Linked DNA regions of Drosophila melanogaster. The protein of the gene in region 2 interacts with the protein of the main gene of each other region in a biochemical or structural test. Each region holds a gene or a part of one and is shown on either strand. Other genes may lie near its edges.

The links.
Region 1: the proteins of pcm (region 2) and DCP1 form a complex in vitro, tested with the Drosophila melanogaster proteins (one study listed by BioGRID).

Annotation. Positions count from the first base shown.
Region 1 is NT_033778.4:23,888,115-23,891,933, forward strand, and holds DCP1 (decapping protein 1), read right to left. Parts: upstream 2,163-3,819; 5' UTR 2,079-2,162; coding exon 960-2,078; 3' UTR 650-959; downstream 1-649. Other genes in the region: CG5597 (uncharacterized protein), read left to right, coding at 11-288, 367-631; DNAlig1 (DNA ligase 1), read left to right, coding at 2,482-2,498, 2,556-2,618, 2,674-2,964, 3,025-3,657, 3,713-3,819.
Region 2 is NC_004354.4:19,485,990-19,493,874, forward strand, and holds the start of pcm (pacman), read right to left. Parts: upstream 6,023-7,885; 5' UTR 5,825-6,022; coding exon 5,750-5,824; intron 5,691-5,749; coding exon 4,596-5,690; intron 4,527-4,595; coding exon 4,218-4,526; intron 3,961-4,217; coding exon 3,496-3,960; intron 3,422-3,495; coding exon 3,153-3,421; intron 3,070-3,152; coding exon 2,750-3,069; intron 2,697-2,749; coding exon 1,803-2,696; intron 1,724-1,802; coding exon 1,143-1,723; intron 1,079-1,142; coding exon 416-1,078; intron 353-415; coding exon 272-352; intron 204-271; coding exon 114-203; 3' UTR 1-113. Other genes in the region: ND-18 (NADH dehydrogenase (ubiquinone) 18 kDa subunit), read left to right, coding at 6,548-6,597, 6,688-7,008, 7,068-7,248; CG12204 (uncharacterized protein), read right to left, coding at 7,419-7,885.

The DNA.
Region 1 (3,819 bases), on a different chromosome or scaffold from region 2:
TCCTTGATAGCCCGAGTTCAGGAACGAGATTGACAGCACCTATGAGAGCTCCACGGAGCCGAGCAAGCAGTACAGCTCGCTGGCTTTGATCAACCCCACGATCGCCACCACCGGCGACTACAAGTGCGTGGTGCAGACCTCGCTGAACACCTTCTCCAGCCACCAGAGGGTTCAGGTCATAGACCTGAGGAACTACACCCTGGAGCTGTCCCACAAGACGATCCACAATGAGACGCAGCTGAACTGCACCGTGACGAACGTGTATCCCAGGCCCACCATCACGATAATGTAAGGACGAGCGCCTGCCTTGTCGTAAGACAGCCTTGTAGTAAACAACGTCCCAACTCAACTCCGCTCCTATTACAGATCCAACGACATGGACGTGGTGAAGCGGGAGCCCATGGTGTACGAGAACGAGGAGGGATACTTCGATGGCAGCGCCGTGGTGGCGGCCTACGACACCGACGACGATCCCGATGCCTACCAGTGCGTGGTGTCCTTCGAGGGATACGGCAAGAACCTGACCACGGTGGCCACGTCCGCGGCGGCGGGCAGGAGCCACGTCGACTTCAGCCTGTGGCTGTTTTGTTTTCTGTACTACCTGCTCTGCAAGCTGAAGGTATTGGCCTAAATAAAAGCGTTGTTATTTATTGTTACTAAATTAATGTTTATTGAATTCTGTTTGCCATTCAACTACCTTTTCTACGCCCCTTCGGCCTAGTTAACCATTTTGTAAATAAATACGAATACTTCACAAAACCAACTACGTTAGTTAACTCTTAAGGTTGCTCTGGAAATGGATGCCGTCCTTCTCCGGCGGGGCTTCTAGATTTTAAATCTACGACTGCCCTTGTCGGCTTACAGCTATTACATTTTGTAAATTAACTCGGCTTGAACTCGAACTCCATGCGAACAAATGAAAATATGGGCTGCAATTCGGAAATGTTGAATATTTCTGTTTATTGATATGTGGAGCTGGAGTCCAGCAGTAGATTGGAACAGCCGTTCAGGTAGGCCTTGTGCAGCTTGTTGGCAAACTCCTTATCGTTCTGGATAAGGTACGTGAAGGCCTGGACGAACTGCGTCGAGTTCAGCAGTGGCTGCTGTGGCTGCTGTGGCTGCTGTGGCTCCGGATTGCCGTTGTTGGGCGCGTCGAACATGGTGGGCGGCATGAGGGCCGGCCCGGGCTTGTCGCCAGCCAGCAGTCTCCGCAAGCACTTGCCGGCATCGTCGTTGGCCATCAGCGCCGACGAGGACGGGGCGACTGTCGGAGATTGAGCCGTAGCGTAGCTTTTACCGATCTTCAGGTCGCTCAGGAGCTGAATGTTAAGCTGCTGCATCTTCTGGAAGGGCGACAGCCGGCTCTCGTGATTGTCCCTGCCTGCCGGGGGCAACAGATCCTCGCCAGGCGTGGCTGCCCGCTGCTGTTTCTCCAGCTGGTCCACGGAGAGCGGCTGGACGCGGTGGAACAGTGACTCTGCCGTGGCCTGCTTGGCCGATTCGAAGAACTTCAACACATTGCCGGCCGTTACGTTCTCCGCCGAAGGCGTCTTCGGCTGCCCGCCGCTCACCTGGGCATTGTAGTCCTTCTGGGCCTTGGTCAGCATGTTGAATATGCTGGCCGGCTGGCTGCTGTCCTGCTTTGGCTGCTGGGGCGCGGAGACGTGACGCTGGGCCTGGCCATTCGTTCCCTGATCCTTGGACTTGAGCAGCCCGTTCACCAAGCCGCTGATGCGGTCGCACTCCTCGCTGTTGTAGAACCAGAAGCCGCGGATGCGCGAGCGCTCGTTGCGGTAGAGCAGGAACGGCGGCTGCGACTGCAGCTCCAGGCTGCCGGTGATGGGCTCCACGAAGGACGTGGTGTTCAGTCGGTTGTTGATGAAGATGCTGTGAAAGGGCTCCGCGTTGCGGTGGTATATGAAGAAGGCTCCCTCCACATCGGTCTTTTCCCACTCGTTCTGCGACGAGTTGAACGTGTAGAAGGCGACGTGCGAGGACGAATCCACGATCTCCTTGGCGTACGGGTCGATCTTCTTGATGGCCGCCAGGTTCATTCGCGTGATGCTCTCGTCGGCCATTGTAAATTGTATGTAATCTTCAGTTTTGGCTGTGCTATTGCGAATTGCAATTATTTGTGAATTTAACGGCGCTCTGGTCACACTGCCCCGTGGATGTTTTCCCGTGTTTATCAACGACTGTGCTGCGGTCACACCGAATGACAATAAACTCTTCCTTTTGTCTATTAATGATTTGTTTGAGAAATATTAAGTCGATTGACTTGCATATAAAAATGGCCACAATTGTACGTAATAATATTTCTCAATTATGTAGCATAAACATTTAATTTATGTTTACTAATAAAATTTTCAACTTCGATAGCATTTCCATTTCAATATATCGATACTGAAGACCAGCTCTAGAAACTGGCGGGAACTAATTGCATTGCAATTTGTATTTATTTGAACACAGAATTGCCACAAAATGCAAAAGTCTATAACGTAATTTACGATTTAACAAATGCTAAGTATTGCCAATCTAACAATCCCCCGTTTCAGCTCCTTCTTCAAGAAGAAATCCGATGCCACCGACAGCCCCTCGCCGCCCAAGAAAGTTCCTAAGTAAATGGTGCCGCTGTTTTCTTGTTTCATTACTAAATTCCTCGACAAATCATAGGATTGATGCGAAGACCGAACTCCCAGATGAACCCCACATCAAGAGCGAAAGTGCCTCCCCGGAAACTAAGCCCAAGGTAGAACCTATGTCTGTGGATTCCGAGGAGAAGACAAGTCCGGTGAAAAATGTTAAGAAGGAACCAAAGGAAGTCGATGACAAGACCACTGACAAGAAGGTCACAACCATAGGTCTCAACTCCACTGCCGCTACTAAGGAGGATGTGGAAAACTACGATCCATCCGCCGACTCCTATCATCCGCTCAAGAATGCCTACTGGAAGGACAAAAAGGTGTAAGTAGTGCAGGATTTTGAGCCTCCAAGGCGAATTATATCAAAGGAAACACTTTCCAGCACTCCCTACTTGGCACTGGCCCGCACATTTCAAGTAATCGAGGAGACCAAAGGCCGGCTCAAGATGATCGACACGCTGAGCAACTTCTTCTGCTCTGTGATGCTGGTCAGTCCGGAGGATCTTGTGCCCAGCGTCTACCTCAGCATCAACCAACTGGCGCCCGCCTACGAGGGACTGGAGCTGGGCGTTGCCGAGACCACCTTGATGAAGGCCATTTGCAAGGCAACGGGGCGTAATTTGGCTCACATTAAATCGCAGACGCAGCTAACCGGGGATCTGGGCATCGTGGCCGAGCAGTCGCGCGTTTCACAGCGCATGATGTTCCAGCCAGCGCCTCTGAATGTGAGGGATGTGTTCCGGAAGCTACGCGAAATAGCCAAGCTATCCGGTCAGTCGAAAATGGACCTGGTGTACAATATGTTTGTGGCCTGTCGATCGTCGGAGGCTCGCTTCTTTATCCGTTCATTGATTGGCAAGCTAAGAATTGGCATTGCAGAGCAGAGTTTGCTCACAGCGCTGGCCATTGGTTTGGTGAAAAAGAACCACATCGATGATTGCAAGGCTAGCAAGGTGCCGGATGTGTATAAGGATGAAATAGTCGACACCACTTTGCTGTTGAAAACTGCATACTGGTAAGAACTAACTTAAGAACCAGCTAATAATTCAGATGCTAACGAACTTTTGCAGTCAGTGTCCCAACTACGATATCATTATACCGGCCATTCTAAAGTACGATATTAAGGAGCTGCAGGAACGCTGCCCCATGCATCCCGGCATGCCGCTGAGGCCCATGC
Region 2 (7,885 bases):
TAGTGCCTCGCACAGACTAGGAGAGATAGAAATAAGGTGATATAAGATCCAAATAGCGTTGCATTTCTTCAGCTAGGTGGGATTTGAACCTAAAAATACCCATTTGTTCGCTCTTAAGTTGGATGCGGGGAGTCGGGCAGTATGTATTCCAAGTCGAACTTGGCTCCGATGCGAGGCACTCGATGCTTCCTTCGGTTGACCGCCTGCAACAGAAGCGAGTAAATGGAATGAGTAAATTATGCAGAATAACTATCTCTATCTCCTCCATTACCTGGGATGATGTCGTTGCTGTGGGCGCGTTCGCACTGCCTGTTGAGACCCCATCAGATTCGGACTGCGACGCAGCCGGCTGCTGTCGGCCGAGAGGAAAGCATTAGTTCGGTAATCAAGGCTTTGACTTGTAGCCAATGCTTACCTTAATTTCAAGCGTTTGCATCAGTCCAATCACCTGTTCGCCTGCTGATTGTACCGGAAGACTAGAACTGGCCTTTGTGTCTATAGTCTCGTTCGTCGGTTGCTGCAACACAGGCGAACGACTAGGATTCTTGGTGGCATCGACGTCCTGACGACCGGCTGGTTGGACGCGATTTAATTTCTTGGGACGGTACGCCTGTATGGGCACAAAATCTTGGATCGTTGAGTATCGCGGTGGCGCATTGTTGATCTCCGTCAGCTGGAGTGGCTGCTGCTGCTGCTGCTGCTGCTGCTGATTCGGGTAATATGGTTGCTGGAGGTGCATGTGCACGTTGTTGTTAAAGGTGCTCTGCGCAGCTATATTCTTTTTGGGACGCATCTGATATCCATTGTTGACGCCAGCGTGGAATGCGTTGGCGTGCTGCATGCGCGGGTGCACCCACTCATGCCACTGCCTTTTTGATGGAGCACCCAATGGCGGCTGATTCAACGCCGCTCCTGTCTGGCCGCTTCTGTAGAAATGCTGGCTATTGATACGTTCAGGCTCCATTTGCGCATGCGCCTGCTGCTGCTTCTTCTGCGCCTCCTGCTGCTGCGCCTCCTGCTGCAGCGCCTCCTGCTTCTGCGCCTCTTGCTGCCAGAAGAGCGGTGGCTTGGGTAGATTCTGCAATGAAAAGTAGTTATGTGAACACATGGTTGGGTGGCACATCTGGGCTGAAAGCAGTTACGGGCATTTGTCCGGGAAACGGAGCTCTTTGCTGTTGAAGTAGTGGCGGACGTTGCTGCTGCACCGCCTCCTGGAGTGGCGGCGAGCTCTGGTCCTCACCCACGCCCAAAACCGACATGAGCGCCAAGGTCTGATCCAGAGGAGTCAGCGTTGCGGACGAGGCTGCGGTGAATGCAGTGGAAGCAGTGCTTGCAGCTGCATCAGGAGTTTTTGTGGGCGGAGCAACAAAAATACTACCGCCCTGTTGACGTGATGAAGACCGATTTATGCGCCAATTATTTGGCGCAGGCTGCGGTTTGTTTGTTGGCGTACTGACGCGTTCCCGCCAGTTGGTAATCTGCTCCGGCACCGGCACCGGTTTTGGCTCCGACGATGGCTTGTACGAATCCGTACGGGCTATCGGATCGCTACGCGTCTTGACGAATTCGTCGCTAATTTGGGTCTTCATCGTGATCGGGACCGAGGTGGACCCTGCGGCGGTCACATAGCGACTGCTGGTCGCGCGGACTGGCTCGTCCTGTGCCTGGTTCGGCTGAGGATCCCTCACCGGCAGTTCGCAGTCGTTCTGCTTCTTTCCTTCCTCTGCAAGGAGAGGAAGTGGGAGCATTGCTATGTATGTGCCTCCTCCGATTCTGTAGGCTATGCAGCCAAATCCACTTACCATCCGTCTTGATGATCACCAGGGCAATTTCGGGCACCTTGTAAACTCGGTCTTCGGCGATGCCATGGATGTTGTTGCAGTTCGGAACGGGGCTGTCGAACAGCACCTTGCAGAACGTGTCGACAGCATGGACGCACTCCAGGCGGACCGGGTTGGGGTCCGTAACGGGATGAATGCCAATCACGGTGCCCTTAGTGCCCACGGGCACCATGTAAATGGTGCGTACGATTACGACGCGATCGAAGAGACGCACCGGGCGCTTTGATCGGTAGACATCTGGCAGTGTGACATTGGGCTTGATGAGCAAGTGCGGCTTCACCTGCAGTTTAACGTGCTTGACGGGCAGTGAGCGCAGGTCGTCGACGGCGGCTATCAGCAGTTCGATGGTCTCGCGGCAGACCGTCTTGGAGCCGCAAGAGATGCGCTCCACTTTCATGTGCGGCTGCTGGCGCACCCAGTTGGCCAGTTCCTCGACGCGGCGATGGCCAACCGCATTGGGGAACACGTCCTGTTCGAATACGAACTCGGCGCGATCGTTGGAGTCGCCAAAGAAGTCGATAACGTCTGGGTAACGCTGGCAATAGTTGCGCATCAGATCCACGGCCAGGCTGGAGTAGTACCACTGGTTGTTCGTGCGGAAGCAGTATCCGGCACGCTCCTCGTTCTGCCGCGGATACTTGAGCTGCAGGCCAATGTTGTGCTTGGTCACGTTTTCCATCTTCTGACGCCGCGGACCGAGCACCACCCACACGGTGCCACTTAGGCGTCCCAGGGTGCGGCCACTGATTCGGAGCAAGTTGCAGACCTGGAAGGTGCTCAGATAGTCCCGGTCCCGCTCTTCCTGCAGCTGACGTGCCGCATTTACTTTCGGTTCCGGTCGCACCATGATGCTGACTGCAGAGATGAAATGATGATGGGGTGTCAAGGACATGGCGAGACGAACTTACCTTGAATCCGGCCGTTGGTGTAGGCCAGCCGTGGGTCCTGCACAGTTCCCTCGCTGCCGTAATACGGATCCGTGATCAAGAAGATCGTGCTGCCAACGGGGAAGTAGTGCTCCACGTTGAGGAAATTCTTGCGCATTCTTTCCCACACAGTCAGATCGGCCACCACGCCCTGGGCTGGATAGCCGGTGACGGAGCTGCTCCACGAGTCGCGCACCATCAATGCCCCCTTGTCGCGGAACTCCGTCGAATTGCCGGCAAAGGTGCGCACATAGACGAGCACATCATAGTTGGCAAACTGTATTCCCATACGATTGATAAAGCTGTCGTGGGAGGAGAAGGAGGAAAGGGAAGATGGAGCATTAGCAGTGTGAATGCAGGGCCAGACGGCGGCTTCACACTCAACTGTTCCTGCAGTGCCTTGCATTCCGAGTCGAAACGCCGCGAATCGTTTAGCGTGATTCCCTCGCTGTCGACGCGCTGATCTCGCGTGGCCACGCGCACCACTATCGCCTTGACGAGATGCGGCCAGCCGACGTGGATCACCTTCCCGAGGTACTGGGAGGCCACCGCCGTCAGTGTGTCCTCCAGCTGGCGCTTGCGTGGTTTTAGCACAATGTTCTGGTTGCGACTGACCTGTTCGAACACCTTGACGCGGTCGTTGCGCAGCTCGAACTGGAAAAGAATAGCAAGCATATTAGACATGGCGGACATGGCGAGCGTTATGCATGTGTCCCGGCGTCACTCACATCGAAGGGCAGATGCTGCATGGTGGGAAATCCCGGGAAGAAAACGGTTCTCGCCGCATTTGGTAGCTCGATGCACACGCTGTACGGCAGATTGACTGCGATTTCGTGCGACCACTTGGCCACCTCCGTGCAGTAGAGCACGGGAAGAGCCCTCAGCGGTGGATACGCTGGCATGGGACCCTGCGCCACCGTACTGTATTTGTACACATACATGGGACCGTGTCGGTTGCGTTCGCGCTCCTCCAGCGACAGCTGAGCCTCGCATGGCAGCATAGCGGCCAGCAGCCGACCCTCATCGATGAAGGGTATCAGCACAACCGCCTCCCAATCGTGTTTCTTGCCATTGAGGTCGCTCTCGAACTCCAGTGGATAGAACTCGGCCAGCGGGCTGGTCGGCAGCAGCATGAGGTCGTGGTAGGCGACAGGGAGAAGCTTTGCACTGGCCGCCGGCAGTACCGCCAGAAGCTTTATATGAAAGATTGGACAGATGGCTTAAGTAAATCTAGTATGTGTGCAGATATATGGATACATGGATAATTTGGTTGAGAAGATTGCTTTAACCAAATGATCTAGCACCACCATTGGATTAGAGGGAGATAGATATATGTTAGAAAGGAGATACGCAAATGATAGTCTAAATTGGTGGCTCTGGTTTATGTTTAAGAAATGGTAAGCCTGATGCTAGGAAAGTTATCGGTGCTAACTAAATGTGCTCAGCTCACCTGCTGGAATGGCAGAAAGGGCGTGCCCATGTGGAAGGCGATCTCCACCTGCTCGATGTTCTTGAGGTCGCTGATGAATGGAGTGTAGTGGAAGGGATAGTACCAGTCCCAGGACTGCACGCCACGGTAGTAGTAGTCGAGCACCCACTGCAGCGCATTGACGTAGTGGTGGCACAGTTCCTCGATCAGTTCATCATTCGGATCACGCTTGAACTTGTTGCGGTAGAAGTTTCGCTTGTAGTTCTGGAACTCCTTCAGAAGAACCGCGTTCTCGTCGGAGCAGTCCTCCTCGCTGTCGTCATCGTAGAGCTGTGGATGGGAAGGCGGCATTGAGCGGACGGAAATGACGGGATGGCGGTCAGTGCAGAGAGTTCATACCAGCATGCTCTTGTTGATGAGGGCTCCGAGATCGGAGTCGAGGTTTTGAGACTCGGTGATCTCGCCGACGTCCATGTCGAACGCCTCTGATTTGTTGTTCATGTACTTCAAGTCGTCGGCGTGCTCCTTGAAGTGATCCAGCTCCACCTCGGTGAGGGCCGATATGAAAATCTGCAAGCGGCGCAGGTTGAGCTTGCCGTTCTCGTTGATGTTGCCGCCGAGGGTCGGGTAAATGCCGATGTAGGTGCGGTAGAGCAGCGGCAGTGCATTTGATGAAATGTGCAGGCACGGCAGGTGGGGAATGAAGTCGTTGCCGACCAAAAAGCCCATCAGCACCCAGTCGTCGATAAGCTGCGCAATGTCCAATTTGTGCTCGTCTGTTCTCAGGGCGTCGAACTCCAGCTCGAGGTACTCGCGCAGCAGACCCAGGTGCAGCAGGAAGAAGCGCGTCTCCTCCACCGAGGTGCGCTTGACGTTGCGCCCGAACTTGACCTCCTCGCGCAGCACCACGAAGTGCAGCTCGTGGGTGCAGAGGCCCAGAATGATCAGATCGGCGTCCAGGCCGTAAAGGCAGTGTCGTGTATTGGGATCATAGTCCGGCTGCGTCTTCATGTACCGAATGTAGTCCATGATCTTGTGCTCGCCCTCGCCGGGCGCCTCCTGGCCACTTAGGATTACGGTGCAACGCTGCCACAGCGGATCCGTCGAAATCTTCGTTTTGAGAAAGGCGCGCAGTCCCTCCTGCAGACGCACCATGAATTCGGTGCCCGGCGTAATGCAGTTGCTGTCGAAGCGCTCGTGCTCTCGCAACTCGCCTCGCTGGGCCGCCTTGGCCTCCTGCTGCTCCGCCTCGCGCGCCGTCCGGAATCGCCGGCTGCGCTGCTGGTTCATCTTGGCCCGTGGAGCCACCCCGTCAACTGAAAGGAAGAAGAGGCGCTGCGGCTTGATCAGGTAGAACAGCTTGTCTACGTAGTTGAAGATTTCCTGGAATATCTGCTCCTCCTCCAGGTGAAAGTGTATGTTGTTGTCGTCCGGATGCGAGCAGTTGTGGACAATGCCGTTCATGTCCAAGTACAGATTGTCGAACTCGGGTATCTGCAAAGGAACCGTACGGTGCATGGCAACATATAACGTGACCTAGCAGCTTTACTTACGCAGTGCTCCCGCGCCAATTCGCTGAGGCACGGATATCGCTCGCTGATGTAGCGAAAGAACTTGGGAACGCCCATGTCGCTGTTCTGGATGGGACTGTTCTGCCGCCGTGCTGTTCTGCCTGGATCAGTGGCAATTTAGATGAACTGAAAAATTTGTGTCTTTATCTGTTTTCAACATGTATTGATTGACACAAAAGTTGCAAGTAGGCGAGGCGTTGCCACAACGTTTCGCTATTGCCATGTGGTAGGGCCGGCGGCATTCCGCAGTTCGATGAATAACTGAAAGAATAAGGACCCTGACCGATTCAAATCGATATTAGAATCGATAAGCGAAACGGGCTCCTTTGCCAATAATCAGCTAATGGTGAAATTAAGCTAAAAGGAGCTAAGAACACCTACATATCTGGCAGCACTGGGCAAATGCAATGCTCATCATTTAAACAGTTGGCTTACAAATAGCATAGTTTTAGTTCTAGTTACTTCTCTAGTTCATCATCAGTGTATTTCATTTCATTCATTTTCATTTTAAAGTTCATTTTACCACTTGAACAGCATTTCATAGTTTTTGCGAAGTTCGAAGTGAAAAAGAAGAAAACTGTTTTTGAACTATTGTGGCATCGCATCCAAGGCGAGGGGCCACACTGTTTCCAATTAGAATAAAAACACTCACCGCTCGCCTGGTCACACTGGCACTGGCGAACAGCTGTTTTCCCAATCGAAAAGCGCTTGTGTTCCAAATTTTACGTAATTCGTATTTTGAAGCCGATTTCTGCCGTGTAGCCCCAAACGCCTAGCGAAATGTCGGCCCTCCGCCAAGTGATGTGCAGAAGCACCGCCTCCCTGCAGCTGTAGGTACCCCCGCCTGGCCGGAGCAAGTGCATCCGACCTGGCAAATCTGCAGCCCTCTAATTATCCACTTTCGCATCTTGACACCGCAGGTACCAGGCCAACAGGGCAGCCGCTGCCCGCTGGGCATCCACCGCCACGGACGGCGGTCCGCTGGACCCCAAGACGGCCCTGGCCCGCCCCGAAGAGCTGGAGCAGCGCAACAAGCTGAGTGGCAAGATCACCGTGCCGACTGCCGTCAATCTCAGCCCGATCAGCGGCGTTCCGGAGGAGCACATTCGGGAGCGCCGTGTGCGCATCCATATTCCGCCCAAGAACGCAATGCAGAGCGGCACCGATAACGTGAACACCTGGCAAATCGAGTTCGACAACCGCGAGCGCTGGGAGAATCCGCTCATGGGCTGGGCCTCCAGGTGAGTAGCTGGCACGTCCACCATGCCATGGCAACCTTGGTCAACGTCTCGTGTTCCAGCGGCGACCCATTGTCCAACATGAACGTGCAGTTCGGATCCCCAGAGGAGGCCATCACGTTCTGCGAACGGAACGGATGGCGCTGGTACGTCGACGGCGCCGCGAAGCCCAAGAAGGAGCGCGTCAAGAACTACGGCATCAACTTTGCCTGGAACAAGCGCACGCGCGTCTCCACCAAGTAGACGCTCCCCGCAGCTAGCCAGGATTATAGACCACAATTATCTGATTTTTTTTTTGCTTTGTTCATTATCTGAGTACCCAAATAAACAGTCGGCTGGACTCAAATGACCACAGCACCATGTAATGGCCACCAGTTTCGCTGCCAATGGAAGCGGCACCATCACATGCCGCTCTAATGACGAGCGGTTTGGGAGCGATGCCTATTGTGCTGCTTCTCGCGTGGCTCTCGCTCCTCCCGACGCCTATCGCCATGTCGATGCCTGCTCGGACTGCGGCTTCTCTTCCGGCTGTCATCATGATGCTGGTACCAATCTCTGCGCTCGTTGCGCCAGTCCCGATGCTCTTGTCGCTGTCCTCGGTCCTTGTGCTCCTTAAAACGATCCATTTGGTCGTTATGCCGCCCTCTGTCCTCCTGGTACCGCTGCCTGTGCTGCGTTTGCTCGTTGTGCCGCCATTGGTGCTCCTGAAACCGCTCCGCTGGCTTATCGCGTCGTCCCTTGTGATCCTGTTGCCGCTCCGTTTGCGTCCTTTGCTGGGATTGCTCAACATACCGTCCGCGGTGCTCCTGTCGGTCGACTTGCTTATGATGCCGCCCGCCGTGCTCCTGTTCCCACTGCTTCTCCAGCGCCTGCATCTGCA